Saccharomyces cerevisiae S288C: one gene and its partner. Changing the gene in region 2 together with the main gene of any one other region gives a genetic interaction. Each region holds a gene or a part of one and is shown on either strand. Other genes may lie near its edges.

What was found. A genetic interaction does not mean that the proteins touch.
Region 1: mutations in CBP2 (region 2) and ZNF1 together harm fitness more than expected from each alone (negative genetic interaction), as found in Saccharomyces cerevisiae (one large-scale study listed by BioGRID).

The regions. Positions count from the first base shown.
Region 1 is NC_001138.5:25,759-31,732, forward strand, and holds ZNF1 (DNA-binding domain containing protein), read left to right. Parts: upstream 1-2,473; coding exon 2,474-3,871; downstream 3,872-5,974. Other genes in the region: YFL051C (uncharacterized protein), read right to left, coding at 4,300-4,782. UniProt on the Saccharomyces cerevisiae protein: Transcription factor that regulates respiratory growth and plays a critical role in stress adaptation during non-fermentative growth.
Region 2 is NC_001140.6:20,018-31,129, forward strand, and holds CBP2 (Cbp2p), read right to left. Parts: upstream 5,493-11,112; coding exon 3,600-5,492; downstream 1-3,599. Other genes in the region: ARN1 (siderophore transporter), read right to left, coding at 1-954; EFM1 (protein-lysine N-methyltransferase), read left to right, coding at 1,766-3,523; YHL037C (uncharacterized protein), read right to left, coding at 5,761-6,162; MUP3 (Mup3p), read left to right, coding at 6,224-7,864; putative ATP-binding cassette multidrug transporter VMR1, read right to left, coding at 7,961-11,112. UniProt on the Saccharomyces cerevisiae protein: Appears to be specifically required for the splicing of the terminal intron (bI5) of the cytochrome b pre-mRNA. Can also stimulates the splicing of the omega intron of the precursor of large ribosomal RNA.

The DNA.
Region 1 (5,974 bases), on a different chromosome or scaffold from region 2:
TATTAATTCATGGAAGGCATTGAACTCAACAGCATATTTTAAATGTTTGTATCTTGTTTTCTCTTTCAAAAAAAAAATGGTGTCATTCATTATTTTATGGTCAACCCTATACATCAATTTTTCTCTGAAAATATTGACAAATAAAGTAGTTGATTCTTGTTCTACCAATTAGTGATATTATGCATGACTGTTAACAACTTTTTGACTAATCTCTGAAATCATATGAAGATCTTGCTGCATTTCATGCATCTAAGAAATCAACCTATATCAACAGATTTCAATAATTACTCTAAACTTATGCTGTAACTTAGAAAGTAACCAGCCTGTGTTGACTGATTGAGTTGCGTATTAACTGCGCCTAGTCATTTCAACACTTATAATTTGCTTCAGCTTAAGTGTGGTTCATCTTTTTTTTTCTGGAAACTTTGCATGCCCTCAAAGCATGAGTAGTTAGTTATCTTTTTGACAATGATCTCTTTTGAAAATATCTACTGTAGATTTGCATGGACGCACGTCGCCCATACGCCAAACTTTGGCAATGATACTCGTTATTCGTAATATCAGTCCGTCAAGGTGCTGTGATTTCTCTATTTTATATTGCCTATTATTTTTTCAAATGATTTGAGCCGTTTTAAATTGAGTATGCAATGAGTCTTTTGAATCAACCGTAAGGCAGTTCCATAACCACTGCCACGAATACGTTTCACTACCTTGAAGAATCTCTAATGTAGGCCGTATTCTTCGCACTTAGTTCTGACGATGTAGACATCTCATTATATAAGAGCATAAGCGCCTGTTTCTAGAATCATTTCTTCGTGACCCAGCTTTTTGAGTTATTTCGCGGTATTTTGAAACATTTCTCGAGCTTGACGTGAACATCCTTATATTTCATGACAAACTCGATCATTGGAACATCCCTGCCTCGATTTTAGAGCTAGTATCAAATTTCAATCTCTTTGTGATGGAGCCCCGCTCCTATTTCAAAAGAGAAGTTTCTTGTATGCATATGTTATTGAAGTCTGATTATAGCAAGTGCAATGTCGTCTCAATTATTTTAACTATTTTTAGCCATACATGTTAGTTATCCTCAAAGAGAGCCTCCAGACTGGGAAGCAGTGTTTGTCATTTCAAATAAGTAGATTTCACAGTTTGTATGATTTTCGAAGCCAGGATTCATTGGGCTTTGAGTAAAGAGAAGCCGCGTATTACGAACAGCTTACGATATTGTAAAATATTCCCTTATTGTGGTGCCCCAATGGATACATGCCAGAGAAATGTCTGTGAAATTGAACAATTACAATGACGAGAGCAAGTAATCCGGCGGCCTTGTCTCTCTTTCACTAGTACCGTCTATATCTCTTGAGCGCCAATATGCGAAAGCTTTCACAAGGTTGATGTTCATGGTATTCGGCGTCGATAGCGAATTGCTTACTAAGAAACATTAGGGTGCAGTACAGCCTTGTTTTTCCAGTTCGACTAACCTTTTTCTTGGCAGTATGGAGACTGACTAGGTCTCCCAAACATTCATTGTAACTGCTGTTTAAAGATTTTGTTCTAACCTAAATTCAAGTGAGAAGCTGAACATGTGTCTCTACTTATGATATCACGACAGCAAATACTAATCTTGCCATAAATAGTCTAGCGTTTTGCAACTTACCTCTAGATATATTTTATTTCTTGAGGAACCGTTTTCGTCGGTAATAACAAAATACTACTGAAACGCCACAGCATTGAGAGAATACGTTATCGATTACGGCTTTCTTCTCGCTCCAGATGTCGCGGGTAAGATATTCACCTCAAACTTTTCTTGTTGAGTGTCGTCACAAATCTAGAACCTACATGCCATCTCAACGATTTTTCTGGAGAAAGGCCTCACTCCGTTCCGTACGTAATGCATAGATAAAGTATCAGGATCTTCACGATGCTCGAGAGTTACTTAGTAGTCTGAGTTTATGCGAAAAAAACTCCGCCGTTGTAATAATCGGGAATACACAGAAGTAGTACTGCACTATCACTGGGATACTCAAAAACCTTCTTTTTAACTTTTCTATCCCACAAATAGAACATAGGAAAGAACATTGACTCCTCCACTTGAAGTTAAATTACAGGAACAAACGCCTAACTATAATTTCGACATTGTTGCATCAACGAATCGACCGAAAGAAAAATCTGGAGTTGCAGTTATCACTTGTATGTGCACTAAGATTTATATTTTTACTCCTGAGATCTGCCAAATCGGTAGCTTATTGAACTGCGTTCCTTTTTCCCCTGAGTTCTCGAGGTACCTGCGGCTTTGTCTGTGCCATCTCCCCCACTTTAAAGTACCCCACGTTACTACCGCGTTTTTCCCCACCCCCGGCTTAATAAATTAGCTATATCTTGTTGACTTAAATACGGAGAAAAGAAGAAAACCTTCAAGAAATGCTTCATTGTCTTGTCAAAAGAGCTAAAGTAAAAGAGCTCTAGTTCGAAGATGGCCCGCAATAGACAAGCGTGCGACTGTTGTTGCATTCGTCGAGTAAAGTGTGATCGTAAAAAACCATGTAAATGTTGTCTTCAACACAATCTGCAATGTACATATCTTCGACCTTTGAAGAAAAGAGGTCCAAAACCCGTCAAGGTGAGAAATTTAAAGAAAGTAGATGATGTACAGGTATTTAGTAAAAGTAGTAGTGGTGGCATAATGAAGGTTCCAAAGGCACTAATTGATCAGTGTCTGCGGCTCTATAATGATAAGTTGTATGTGATCTGGCCTTTGCTGTGTTATGATGATCTTTACGAACTTTTAGAGAAAAGATATGACGAAACCTGTGTGTATTGGTTCCTGGTATCTCTTTCTGCCGCCACGCTTAGCGATTTGCAGACTGAAATTGAGTCGGAAGGAGGGGTTACCTTTACTGGGATACAGTTATCCAGTTTCTGCATGTCATCACGCCAAGAATTTGACGATTTTAACGGTAGTGATATATTCAAGATTATGACGTACTATTGTCTAAACCGCTGCTACGCACAGATGTCCAACTCAAGAACTTCGTATCGGCTTTCTTGTGAAGCCGTGGGGCTCATTAAGTTGGCGGGGTTCCATCGCGAGGAAACTTTGAAACTTCTTCCTTTCGATGAGCAGCAGCTTGGAAGGAAAGTTTATTATTTGCTTCTCTTAACGGAAAGATACTTTTCTGTGTATACGCATTGCGCCACGAGCCTGGATACCACGATTGCTCCACCACAACCGGAGAACGTAACGGACCCCCGACTATCTCTCGACAGCTTCTTGGAGATGATTAGGGTATTTACTGTACCGGGAAAATGCTTCTTTGATGCTCTAGCTACCGACTCTGCTAATGTAACCTGTACTGAAGACTCCCTTAAAAAGATATGGAGGGAACTTCATACGGTGCCACTTGAGATAGAACCATGGTCTTACGGCTATGTAGACATATCTTTTTCACGGCATTGGATTAGAACACTTGCTTGGAAGCTAGTGCTTCAAATAAGCGGTATGCGAATCAGTTTCCTTTCAAATAGCAAGAATACGCATATTCCAGTAGAAATTGCTAGAGACATGTTAGAAGACACATTTTTAATCCCAAAAAATCTTTATGCAGTTCACGGTCCAGGGATATCAGTGAAAGCACTAGAAATAGCCGACGCATTGGTAGATGTTGTGAATCAGTACGATCAAAATGCAGAGTCGGAGGCTTGGAATTTTTTGTTCGATATATCCAAATTTGTCTTCTCTCTTAAGCATTGTGATAGCACATTAGTTGATAAGTTTACGACAAAGTGTCAGTGTGCGCTTATCACGCTTCCTCTTTCTAATCCGCTTGAATCGACAGATGGTTCTAAAGAAGATGTAGATGCGCTTCCTTAAGTAAACACATTGCTACTTGCATTTTACCTTTCAAGATGTAGTGATTACGGACAGTTGAAGAGGCTAATAGCATCTATTTCTTCTTTAGTATATGGTTCCTGCAGGGCAAACAATTATTTCCTTTGCAATTTTGCGGCAGTGGGGAAGAATGATAGCACTAATAGTGAACTTGTGGACAATTATGCTATTATAGCAAGAAAAAAAATTTATTTTTTTTTCAAGGGGGGTGATTGTGATGTGAATTAAATCAAGGATATACGCTTTTATCGTCATGATAGTCGTGCGATTTGTACTTGGTTATAGATGAAATGAGTTAGTTTTTAATAATTGTGATCACAATATAGCTGTACTTATCAGGCCATTAAAGTTTCCTGTAAGGTGCACGAGAAGTCATGGTCATAAAATTATCAGAATCTCCAAGGAGAGGTTCAACGGCGTCGGTTGCCCATACTCCATATTAAGTACCCTGTCATTTCCACAGTTACATTAGTTGGAGTAGTATAGAAACCAAAAAGATCAGAACTCCAATAGGCAGTATTTGGGTCACAGTATTCAGTGTCACGTTTTTTAGTTTCATAAAGAGGTCCGCAAGGATCATATCCATCCTCATCACGCTTCAAAACTGCATAAGTCACACAGGTAGGAGTGCTCTCACAAGGCGGACTATAGTATATGGAGAGATTGGTCTGTCCGCTAACGGAACCTAACTTCTTTGTATTGGAGTATTCATAGCCCATATATTCAGGCTCCAAGTATGTGGTTTGGTCGCCTATTGTGTACTCATAAAAATTAATATTCATACCATCTTCCCTTTTGTTTGTTGGTAAGCAAGCTTCTGTACTGGCTAAGGTTGTAGTAGCTAGCGCCACGAAGACCAAGAGTGCCGAAAATACGGAATGGGGTATAGACATTTGAAGGTGTGGAGGGATGCTGGTATCCTCCAATTGTTACATTAAGATTATCATCTGGCTATCATGAAATGAAGGTTACCTTTATATAAGAAAGACTTTTAAAAAAATGTTTTGTTTTCTGCTTTAGGGAAGTAGATATCGTTCCTGCATTTTGATATCAAAATAATCTCCGGTAGGCATCAATTGCAGTTAAAGCTCTTTCTGGCAAAAACCCCGATACCCATGTAGGTACGCTCTTTTCACCAGGTCTTAATAATTTGATGGGCACCGTTTATCCCAGGCAAGCCAAAAATTAGAAACAAAAAACAACTCACGTACGTTAAAAAACCTGATAGTGCTTCGTACTACATAGAACCCTGCGCTGTTATCTGCTAATCGAGCACTACTAAATTCCCTCCAAAGGAAGTAGAGTATAGATTCTATGCACCGATGTGAAAATAGTAAACCTACGATAACCTTTTTTTTTTTACTAACCGAATTGAGCAGATATTGTTACCTGTTACGGTCATAAAAGTTAAACGATTTTGCTTTATTTCTGTCCCTGGCTGAAAATAGTAAAGAAGAGGGAAGGCAAGTTCAAGGGCAGCTTAATAAGTCATACGAAAACGTTCTCGAACTTTTTTTCTGCAAGCTTTTCAGAACCACGATGGAAAAAAGAAATTTTTACAACACTAATGCCAAGTAAGGTTTTTCGGATTTAGGGTGGCGTCCTGAAAAAAAAAGAAACGTCTCAGAACGTTTCGGAGAAAAAAAAATAAGGTGTCAAATTTCTTAGTGTTTTGACGGGTGATGCCCTTCCAGATAAATCTCGTGGAGATTGGCTAGCGTCAAACGTCACCGATCTCTATTTCTTTTTTAGGTTATTAAATTTCGATTACATCGCGTGTTCTTAGATAAGTTACCAAGGGTGCTCAAAGGAAAATTATATTTCTTTTTTTCTTTTGAGTAATTGCAGGTGAAGAGATACAGAGCAAGGAACGTGATGTAATGCATTTTTTTTTTTGTTCCTTGGAACCACATGATTTACTCAACAAATTAATCTAGTTTGTGCTTCAAGCATGCACCATTGTGAATATTTTTTTAGTTTCAAGGTGACAGGTTATGAAGATATGGTGCAAAAGACAAATGTATGGTGGCAGGCATAGTAAAATGATGGTGTGGAAGACATAGATTGTATTTGTTTTGCATTATC
Region 2 (11,112 bases):
CCAGGTAGTTTTGACCCCACCAGCCAAGGTCAGTGGGACCAAGATACAACCTAGGGAACAACCCATCAAAAGGACACCAACGACATCTAACATCCAAAATAATTGCTTTAAGATCTTAATAAAACCATGTTCTTGATAATAGGACTTCTGGCCCTTCAAAGCGTGCCATTCAGGAGTCTTTCTGGCCCTCCATTGCATGTGCAACATACACAAAACGATTGGAACACATGATAGGGGAAAGATGAAAGCCCACATACCTACATCCCAAGACCAGTTGACAACAGGATTGGCTCTGGAAGTGATATTACCAGCAATCCATGTGTTGATGATAAAAGGCCAAGTCGGGACAAATTGATACAGCAGTCTCCACTTTAAAGATGAAAAATCGGATAGGATAATCAAAAGAATAAGGATTACACCCACATAGCCAGCATTGTAGAAAATGGCACCTGCAGCGTATCTTTGAACATCATAAGCTTGTGATTGAATAATTGTACCCACAACATATAGGATGACAGCACTAATGAAAAGGTATAGTCTACCAAACACATCAGACAACCTAGCGTATATGATTTGCGAAGCGGCACTGACCACAGCATTAATGACGTTGATTGTAGACAGCAGAGAATGCTCACTATAGGATGATGTGGCGTAACCAGTGTAAATATAACGGATGTTACCGTCCAGTCCATAACCGTAGCCACATATGAAAGCACTCAAAAGTAAAATCGCTTGTAAGTACCATTTATTGTAAGCAGAGCCAATGATTTCAGTCTGCTGGATAATTAGGCTCCTGTTCTGTCTCAAGGCATTGTATTTTTCAGATAACTGAGGGAGACCATATGAGTCGGAGTTGGAATCGTTATGAGTCTCAGGATTCAACTCGTGTTCCATTCCCATGAAGACATGTTTCTTTTCCTCCTTAACAGGATCGCGAGAGTGAACAGACTCCATTAGTACGTTGCTATGCAGTGGCTTGAACTACTGTCCATATATTTTTAAGAAAGAAAACAAGAGATATAGTGAACGAAAGCAAAAAGAGAGCTATCGAATGTTTCCTCCCCTATATACAATTATTCCTGAAATCTTCAGTTCTATGCATCTTGCATTACTTCATGTAAACTGTACTCCGATTTGCTTGGCCTTTTTTTCTCTTTGACACTATTTTCCTAACGATATGTGCTTGTTATATCACACCTGCTTTTATGGGTGCATTTTGATAAATTTGCAATCCCAAACAGGAAAGAAGTGAAAAAGGCCAAGACATATGTGGCTTTCTAACAAATACAGGCACACAAATTTCGTAAGAGAACAAGTCCTAAAGATGAACGTTAATGATAATATACAATTGTCTTCTCATTTCTGTTGATGGATTTTCATTCGCAGGTGTATTTTTCCATCGCTTCGTGATAGAGCTGCCAGTACGCTTCATCGCGGTCGCTTACATGCGTGATATTTAGGGGATCTTTCATTGGCTTCCGATCAGATAATATGTATCATTAGTCAGCGGAAGTTACAGGTGGAAACCCTCCCCACCTTGATAGTTGTCTTGATTGTATAGGCCTGTAATCTATTACTATTATTCTATTGGAGTCCTGCTCGTTGTTCGTTCAAGGCGAATGTGCCTGCGATGAGTTGACTATGAAAAAGAAAATTTTTCAACTTGAACTTGACCATTCCAACAAAGAAGAAATGATGGAAGTAAAAAAGACTAAGGAATCAAGCTTGGTGAAGCTACCTCGTCATTTAATTAACGAACTTCTGCATGATCACCCAAACTGAGCTAGATAACTGCTTACAATGGGCTCAAAATAATGGAGCCTTCATCGATCCGAAAATCTCTTTTAGGATTACAGAGGATGCTGGTGTTAGTGCATTTGTAAACGAAAAATTCTCTCCCAAACCCGACCAAGCTTTGATTAGGGTACCCGAAACTCTGCTGATCACTTCCCAGCAAGCTTTATCAGAATTTTCCCAGGCTGCTAATGAAAGGAGTCTTTTGAATTCCGTGACACAGTTGTACTTGTCAAAGTTGAAATTTGGCACCGATGCAGTTCACCTGAAATCCTTTTACAAACCATATTTAGATGTGCTACCCTTGCACCTTCCACAACCATATTTTTGGTCTACTGATGAAGTCATGAATTTGCATGGTACAGACGTGTACTTAACTATGAGAGATACGCTGAACAAACTAGTAAAGGAGTGGAGGATGCTGTTCCAAGCTTTATCTATTGAACACTCTTCTCAAGATAAGCAGTTCTTGTCTTTATTCCAGGAGAATAAAGACTCTGCCGTAGTGCCGTTGGAACAGTTCTGCGCACACATCAATGGATGTAAACTAGAAGATTCGGAATGGAACTCGTTCGTGGCGTATCTTTGGTCGTACTGCATCTTTAATTCTAGGGCATTTCCTCGTGTCATTTTAGGCAGGGCCGGTACAGACCGCACCAATCTGAACGAAGGATTTTTGTATCCAATAGTAGATTTATTAAACCATAAAAACGATGTACCAGTAAGATGGGAGATGAATGAACAAAATGAACTTTGTTTCATGTCGCAGACTACCACATTTAGTGCACAGGATGAATTGTTTAATAATTATGGTAATATTTCTAATGAAAAATGTTTGTTAAACTACGGGTTTTGGGATTCCTCGAATAAGTTTGACTTCTCTAGGTTGACTTTAAAGCTACCATCCACCTTAGTTAGCGGTTTGCCCGTGGATTTTAACAAATCAGGTAATTTTGTTACTGACGATGGAGAAACTACCATTTTACAATTTAGTTTAAAAATTTCTGAACCATTACCACCGGTTCTACTAGCGTTATTTGCCTACCTAAGTAAATTAAAGTCTGAAGAAACTCCAACCGTAAGGAGCGTATTGGAAGGTATTGATCAATTAACATCTGTAGTATCCCAGAGATTGCTGTTTTATAAGAATTTTAAAATTAAAACTTCTTCGACTCAAAAATTACGCCCTCATGTTATTAAACTAATCAAACTATACTATCAAGATAACAAAAAAATTCTGAACGCCACTACTGAGAAATTGTCCGTTTTACAAAAAAAAATATATAGCAATAATAAGGAGTTTTCTCTGTCATTCAAGACAATTTTTAAAAACGACAAAATATTTGCCAATTCTCTCTTACTGGTATTTGGTGCTATAAATTACGAAGATTTGATCACAAAAGACTGTCTTAATGACGCATTGTTGCTCTGGATAGTCAAATTAATCAACGATAAAAGTAATAATCAGGGAGGTTTCATTAAACAAACCTTCAAAGAAGTTAGTGATTCAATTGTCATTGAAAAAGAAGATGTTATGGAGTTTTTGCCGTTCTATAAAAAATACTTCCCTAATTTATCGGAGAGAATTCCAGAAATTTATAGTGTCGGTGATTGGGGCATAAGACAGTTCATTGTGGCAGATACTGCGATTGATAGATTGGTTTGGATCAGGAAATCAAATAAAGAGCCTATATTTCTAATGAAGAAGGCATACGACTTACAGATTTAGCTTTGATCTGTAGCCTAAGTATAAAATTCTACGTATGTATATATTTACATGCAATTTTTTCTTTTTCCAATTCATGTTAATGTTCTTCATCATTTGATAATAGGCCAATGATATTATCTACTATCTTCTCCTTTTGAGGAGAAGCTGCTTTCACTTCCTCGTTGCTTTTCTCTTCGTATAAATACATGAATTTCGACTTGTCCAGCATTTTTTTATCAATACAATGCATGTGCCCATGAAGTTCTACCTCCGACAAATCTTTAACAAAATATGTCGTTATTTGTGTCATGAATTTCAGTAGGGTTTGAAATATTTCGGGTATGGCGTTCTTCTTATCCAGAATAACAATTTTGTAGTTTGCTGATAATGTTATTGGACGAAGCTGGATGGGCCTATTTACGCGGAACTTTTCGCCATATATTTCCTGTTCGAAGTATAAAAGTTGGTTGGCCAATTTCTTTAATCCGTTTGCAGATTGTAGCGATTGTTCATTCGCAAAACCAGGTTCTATTGTTGCATTTATTGACTCAGTGAAACCCACCAACTCCATTAAAGTTGGTCTTAAATCATCTTGCATAAACTTGTACAAGTTTGGCTGGAAAATTCTAATCATTTTCGATTTTGTCAGCACGGTTTGCAAAATTAATGTGATGTGTTCAAATCTTGATAAAGTCGTTTCATCATTTTGGAAAATAGAGAATTGGTTCCATTTCATTTCTGAAATTACCAGTGCGGAATATGTTTGTAGGTCATGAAGAAAAGAGTCGTATTTTGTCTTGTAGTTGATCAGAGAAGCTTGGTCCGTGGGTATTTTCATGGACTCGGTCTCTTGATATTGCTTCCATATATATGAGTCCCAAACATTCCAACTAAATTGAAAGGAAGGCGCATTATCGTTACCAGAGAAGGAACGGATGCTTTTCTTGTTACGTTGTAAAATGGTGAATATATTGTAGAGAATGAAATTTTTGCAAAATTCAGCCCTCAATTGCCGGATGGAGAAGTCGTTTGATAATATTGTAGCTCTTAAAATGTCTCCAGGGCACGTTCTGTCTTTGTTTGATTGTTTGCTCCACAATGTCTTATGGCTAACCGATCTTTCTAAAAGTTGCTTCAAAGTGACGACATTACCACCAGCGATTCGAGTTGTGGCACTGTTTGCATCCAGATAGAATGGTTTACCCTCTTCGTTCGCCAGTATCCGACCAGCGTTAGCCTTCTCAATGCGCTTTCGTTCATTCAAGGTGCAAAGTGGCGAAGCTATCTTGGTCTTCAATTTGTCTACCTCAGTAACGAAAAATTCTCTATGTTTATCTACAAAGTAAGGGAAAATACCAATTCCATCGAATTCCCCAATCATCGCCTCATCGGAAACCTGGAAAAGAGGCAAGGGCTTTGCATTAGCTGGGTTTACAAACATGGGTACCTCACCATTATTTTGTTCCAAGAGTCTATCGTAAGTGCTCTTCTTAACCCCGATTCCCCGACAAAAGTTTGAAAATATCGACTTAGGCCAAATTACACGCTGCAGTTTCAACTTATCATCTTTGCATCGTACCCTTATTAATTGTTGCCACTCGAAAGATGGCTTGAAGTCCTCATCCATTTCGCTGAACAACTTCTCGTAGAGACTTAAGGGGTGGTCAAACATAGGCGCAATCCGTTCCCAGTGTTGGATCCTCTTCTTCGAGGATTTTTGAGTTAGATCTGTTCTAACAATCTTGAATGCGTGTTCGCGAGGGGCGTTTATATCACGTAATAGCAGTTTTTGCAAGTCCGTGAGTGAAATATTATACAGTACTCCTTCAAGATCACAATATTCATAAGATAAGTTTGTCTTCTTAAACGCTTGCTTACAGCGAGGGAACACCTGATGTGTGATATTCTCCATGTTGAACTTATACCTGTAACGAGAGGAACTGCCCTGTCTCCTCAATGAGACCATGAACAATGTTTGCCAATTCACCATTTTGGTCACTCTGTCTCAAACCTTTCCTTCAGCGCAGCCTTACTCCTTCAAGAGAAGCCTTCATTGTCCATTCACTTAAGCATAATTTGTCATCTTCAATGCAATTGAACTTTCACTAAATACACCCATACACACCAATCTTGGATTCTACTCGGCGGCAATCTTCACTCTTTCCTTTGTTTTATCATTTTCTATTCCACCTTTAGTTCCCCAACTTCACCTCTTATCGAACTATCAACACATTTGACTATCATTTTGGCAAATTCACTCACGTGAGGGCGTGTGCTAACCATGCAAGGGTTATGGCATGCGCATCCATGTGGCGTTTCCTACTTTTATTTTTACATAATATATAAGATAATTGCACATGCAAACAGTCAATCTTTTTCCTGCAATTGATGTGGAGACCAAAAGGTTTGCATCTCCTAGTACCACGATTTTTTGGTGCAAAAGTGTTGATAATGTAATTCAGGTAGAAAAGGTAGAAGTTTCCTCTAGTATGTTCACAGATTGGATTAGAAAAAAAGATCACGCGACTCTTGCCGGAAAAAACTGTGGCGTCGCTGCATATATATGACAAATCAATCATATAGATTAGAGGCCTGCCTGAGTCAAGGGGCAAAAACAATACACATATAAAGACCTGGATGCTTATCGATGATCTGTACATTCTGTTTGTAGTCTAAGTTGCTGAGGGCAACGTAGACGTACAGTGCTCAAAATAAGTAAAAATGGAACCGCTGCTTTTTAATAGTGGGAAAGCAAATCCCTCTCAAGATGTTTTCATAGATGTGGAAGTTGGTGATATTACCACAAAATATGGTTCCACAAATACTGGATCATTCAGTTCGATGGATACTGTGGAAGCGCAGGCGATAAAGGCAGAGACGGCAAGATTCATGGAAGTTCCACAGGGAAGACATTTAGGTGTGTTCTCCACGGTTGTGTTATTTGTTTCGAGGATAATGGGGTCAGGTATATTTGCAGTACCCAGTGTGATTTTACTGAATACAGGTGGTAATAAGCTGATATATTTTGCGATCTGGGTTTTTAGCGCTGCGATCGCTTTTGCAGGATTGTATCTTTTTCTAGAATTTGGTTCCTGGATACCGAAATCAGGTGGACGTAAAAACTTCCTCGAACGGAGTTTTGAAAGACCCAGACTATTAATTAGTGTGGTGTTTTCGTGTTACAGTGTTTTAACTGGCTATGCATTGACGGGATCTATCGTCTTCGGTAAATACGTGTTGAGCGCATTTGGAGTCACGGATGATTCGTGGTCCAAGTACGTCAGCATATCATTTATAATATTTGCCGTTCTCATTCACGGTGTCTCTGTAAGGCACGGAGTGTTTATACAGAACGCACTTGGTGGTTTGAAGTTGATCATGATTGTCTTGATGTGCTTTGCCGGGCTATACACGCTTTTCTTTTATAAAAGCACCGGTCAAGTTGCCTGGGACCTCCCAGTAACCCAAGTTGAGAAAGATTCTCTCCTGTCGGTGTCCTCTATTGCTACTGCCTTTATCAGCTCATTCTTTTGTTTTTCTGGATGGGATACAGTTCACACAGTTACATCAGAAATTAAGAATCCCGTTAAGACGTTGAAGGTGTCAGGTCCCTTATCGTTGATAATTTGTTTTGTCTGCTACACAATGATGAATGTGGCATACTTGAAAGTTTTGACATATGAGGAAATTGTTAGTGCAGGCCCCCTGGTTGGTTCCGTGTTGTTTACCAAACTTTTCGGACCCAGAGTTGGTGGCAAATTCATTGCTTTTTCTATCGCCATTTCTGCAGCATCTAATATTCTGGTTGTCATTTACAGTATATCAAGAGTTAACCAGGAAATATTCAAAGAAGGTTATTTACCATTCAGTATTCATATGTCCAAAAATTGGCCATTTGATGCACCTCTACCATCTATTTCTTTATGTGGCTTTATAACCATTGCTTGGATATTGATTTTACCCAAAGAGGGCGAATCCTTCAATTATCTGGTATCGATGGATGGTTATGGTAATCAGTTTTTCTTATTATTGGTCGCTATTGGGCTCTTTATTTGGAGGTTCAAACACAAGAACGAAGTCCCAGAGATTCGTGCATCTACTTTTGGAGTATTAGCCATTATTACATTATCATTATACATGTTGATGGCACCATTCTTTGCCGACCCTAGCCTAAACAGAGTTGGGTTCCTGCCGCCCTACCAAATCATGTCATTACTGGTAATAGTTGCATGCTTCTTTTTCTGGTTAGTTAAATTCGTTTTACTACCTAAATTCTTCCATTATAAACTTTTACCCAAAATCACTTATTTGCATGATGGGCTCATTGTCACAGAATGGGTGAAAAAGCCATGTCTGTGTTAGTTTTTCCTTTTCTACATAAATATTTTATAGACTACTATTGCATTTTTAATAAATAATATTCATCCTCATCTTTGAATAAAAGAAAGAAACATTCGATTATTTCATCATCTTACTTGATTGCTTGGCTATTTGCTTCAAAAGCTCTAGGCCCCCACTGTCACGACACATACTATAAAATATACCGCGTTCATCTTTCAACAGTTCACTAGGGCGATCATATTCTTTTACCTCACCGGCATCCATCACAATTATCCTGTCGTAATCGATAACAGATCTCAAACGATGTGCAATAGTAAGAATTGTGCTTTTATTAAACTCACTTCTTATAATACCCTGAATTAAATGGTCAGAATCGTAATCAATAGAGGAAGTAGCCTCGTCCAAAAGTATTATCTTTGGCTCGCGTAACAATGATCGTGCAATAAAAAGCAATTGCCTTTCACCTTGGGACAGATTTAAGCCGCCCTCAGCTATTTCTGTGTGAAGATTTAAAAATTTATTATGAGTGCTGTTAAAGCGTTCCTCCGAGTTAAGCACTTCTTCAAATTCATGTGAAGAAATTAGATTTACTTGTGAAAGTGCTTTGAATATTTTTTTTTCATCATATTCATCATATGGATCAACATTACTTTTGATTGTACCTGCAAATAGAATAGGGTCCTGAGGGATGATAGTAATGGAACGACGTAATGTAACGAGATCAATTTTACTTATATCCTGCCCATCTATTTTGATACATCCGGTTATTGGTTCTAGTAATCTGAATAATGCCGTTATTATGGTAGATTTGCCTGCGCCAGTTCTTCCGACAATCCCAATCTTACTTTGAGGATCCACTTTGAAACTAACATTTCTTATGACAGGAGGCAAATTTGGCGCGTAACGTAAAGATAAGTTTTCAATTTCAATTTCTCCATCTTTTGGCCACGATGGTTCGTTTAGAAGTAGAATGCGGCCTTCATCATGGCCAAGATAGTTCTCTTGTTCAATGCTAGAATATTCTTTTAGTCTTTCAACAGAGTTCATGTTCATTTCAAATGTTGAGTACAGTCTAACTAACCATAAAGCACCATCTGTAAACAAAATGGCATATGTCAAAGAAATGCCGGCAAGACCCGAGTCAATATTTGCAATATTGAGCAGAATAAAAGAACCTGATGCTAAAACAATGAATGCGCCAATCATGTCGACTCTAAAAGAAAACCATTTGACAGTAACTGATAAATAAAAGAATGCTCTGTTATTTTGGTCAATTTTGTTCATATTTTCTAAAATGAATCTCCTCTCGTCGCCAAATGCACGAATTGTGCAAACGCCTACCAAGGTCTCTGAGAAATGTTGAAAAATGGGTGATTTGGTTATTGAATCTAACCTTTTCAATTCTCTACTTGCCGTTAAGTACCATTTCCCCACAAAGAAATATAAAACAAAAACGATAACGGCGACTGTCAAAAAGCGAGGAGTTATTACGGTAATGAGAAATATAATTGATGCGCATTGAATTAGGCAAAATATAGTTACTTCTAAGTATGGAATCAATTCTTGATCAACACCTTCGATGTCCTTTGAAAAGCGATTCATGATTCTACCAACCGGCGTCACGTCGAAAAATCGTATTTGGGCATGTAGAACTAGATCTAGCAGATTATTAAAGATCTTTCTGGAGGCTCGCATACCGGATAAAAACGTCATCATTGTTTTAAAACCACCTAGCATTGCCTGAATGATACCAATAAGAAAATATACGGTTAAGTAATAAAATGCATTATGTTTATTTTTCGAAGAGTCGGTCATCCCTTTTAATGGCAGCGTGTCCATCGCAAAACCTGGAGCATTTATTCGTACATTGGTATCGTTGACCCAATGTCGTATCCACCAAGACTGACTGATGAACAAAATTTGAGCTGTGATATAAAGAGCGAACAGGGCTGTTAAAGCTTTGAAGCCTCCAAAAAATTTCAGGTACCATTTATAAACATCGGGGCTTATGGCACCGTTTGATTTTTCTTCCTCTTCTATTAGCTGGCCATCATTGACAAAATTTGCATCAAAATTTATGTTCTCGGTGACAGGTTCGATTTTCTGAGAGTCATTTTTTCTGGGAGCTTTTAATCTATTAGCGTTCTTTTCATTAATGCTATCTCGAGAAGAAAGTTGAACATATTTTTCCTTAAAAAGCCCTTTGCTTTGTAATTCTGTAATAGTTCCTTGATTCTTCACTTTGCCATTTTCCAACACAATCGCGAAATGGGCATTTCTAAGTGTTAATGAAACATTGTGCGTAACTAAAATGCAGGTTCTATTTTTCATTAGTGGACCTGTGATGCAATTTTCATAGATCCATACAGCAGTATGTGAATCGACAGCGCTCAAACAATCATCTAGTAAGACATGCTTAGCACTCGAATAAACAGCTCTCGCCAAGGAAATTCTCTGTTTCTGCCCTCCTGATAAAGTTATACCCTTTTCACCAATTTCTGTTAGGTCACCTGCTGGTAAAATCTCCAGGTCTCTTTTCAGCCCACATGCATCAATTACTTTGTTGTACCTATCCTCGTTATAGAAGTTATCAAAGATAATATTGTTTTTTACCGTGTCATTTAATAGCCACGCACTTTGTGAACAATATGCGAAGGAATTGGTTAAACCTTCGCAGTCGGGAATTAAATCATGCTTTGGTTCTAAGCTCGGAACAATGATAGAGCCACTAATTAGATTTAGTTCACCCAGTAAACCCAGCAGCAATGCACTTTTACCAGATCCTGTAGAACCCAAAATCAAATTTAACTTACCAATTTGAAATTTAATATTCAAACCACATAATTTGAATGCATTCATATCGCTGTCATTTTCATTCCAGGTTAAAGTCGCATTTTTAAATTCAATTTTATTTTTGTCTGGAGATATGGTTAGTTGATTATATTTTTCTGTATCGTCCATCCTTAAAAAATCGCTTATTCTTTTTAGAGAGACTTTTGATTGATTTATGAAACTTAGCATATTTGATAATTGATCCAGGGGTGTCTTTAACAAAGTGAAGAGTGACAAAGTAGTGAAAGCAAGCGGGGCATTCAAATCTTCATGTTGAACAAATGTACAGATGGCGAAAGTGACACCTGTCACCAAGGTCGGTGTCACGAACCAAAGAAAAGAAGTTACGGACCACACCAAAGATTTTTTTAATAAGGATCTTAATTCCTTTTGCCTTATTGATTTGATTTCATTTATAATATTCCTTTCCCAAGCAA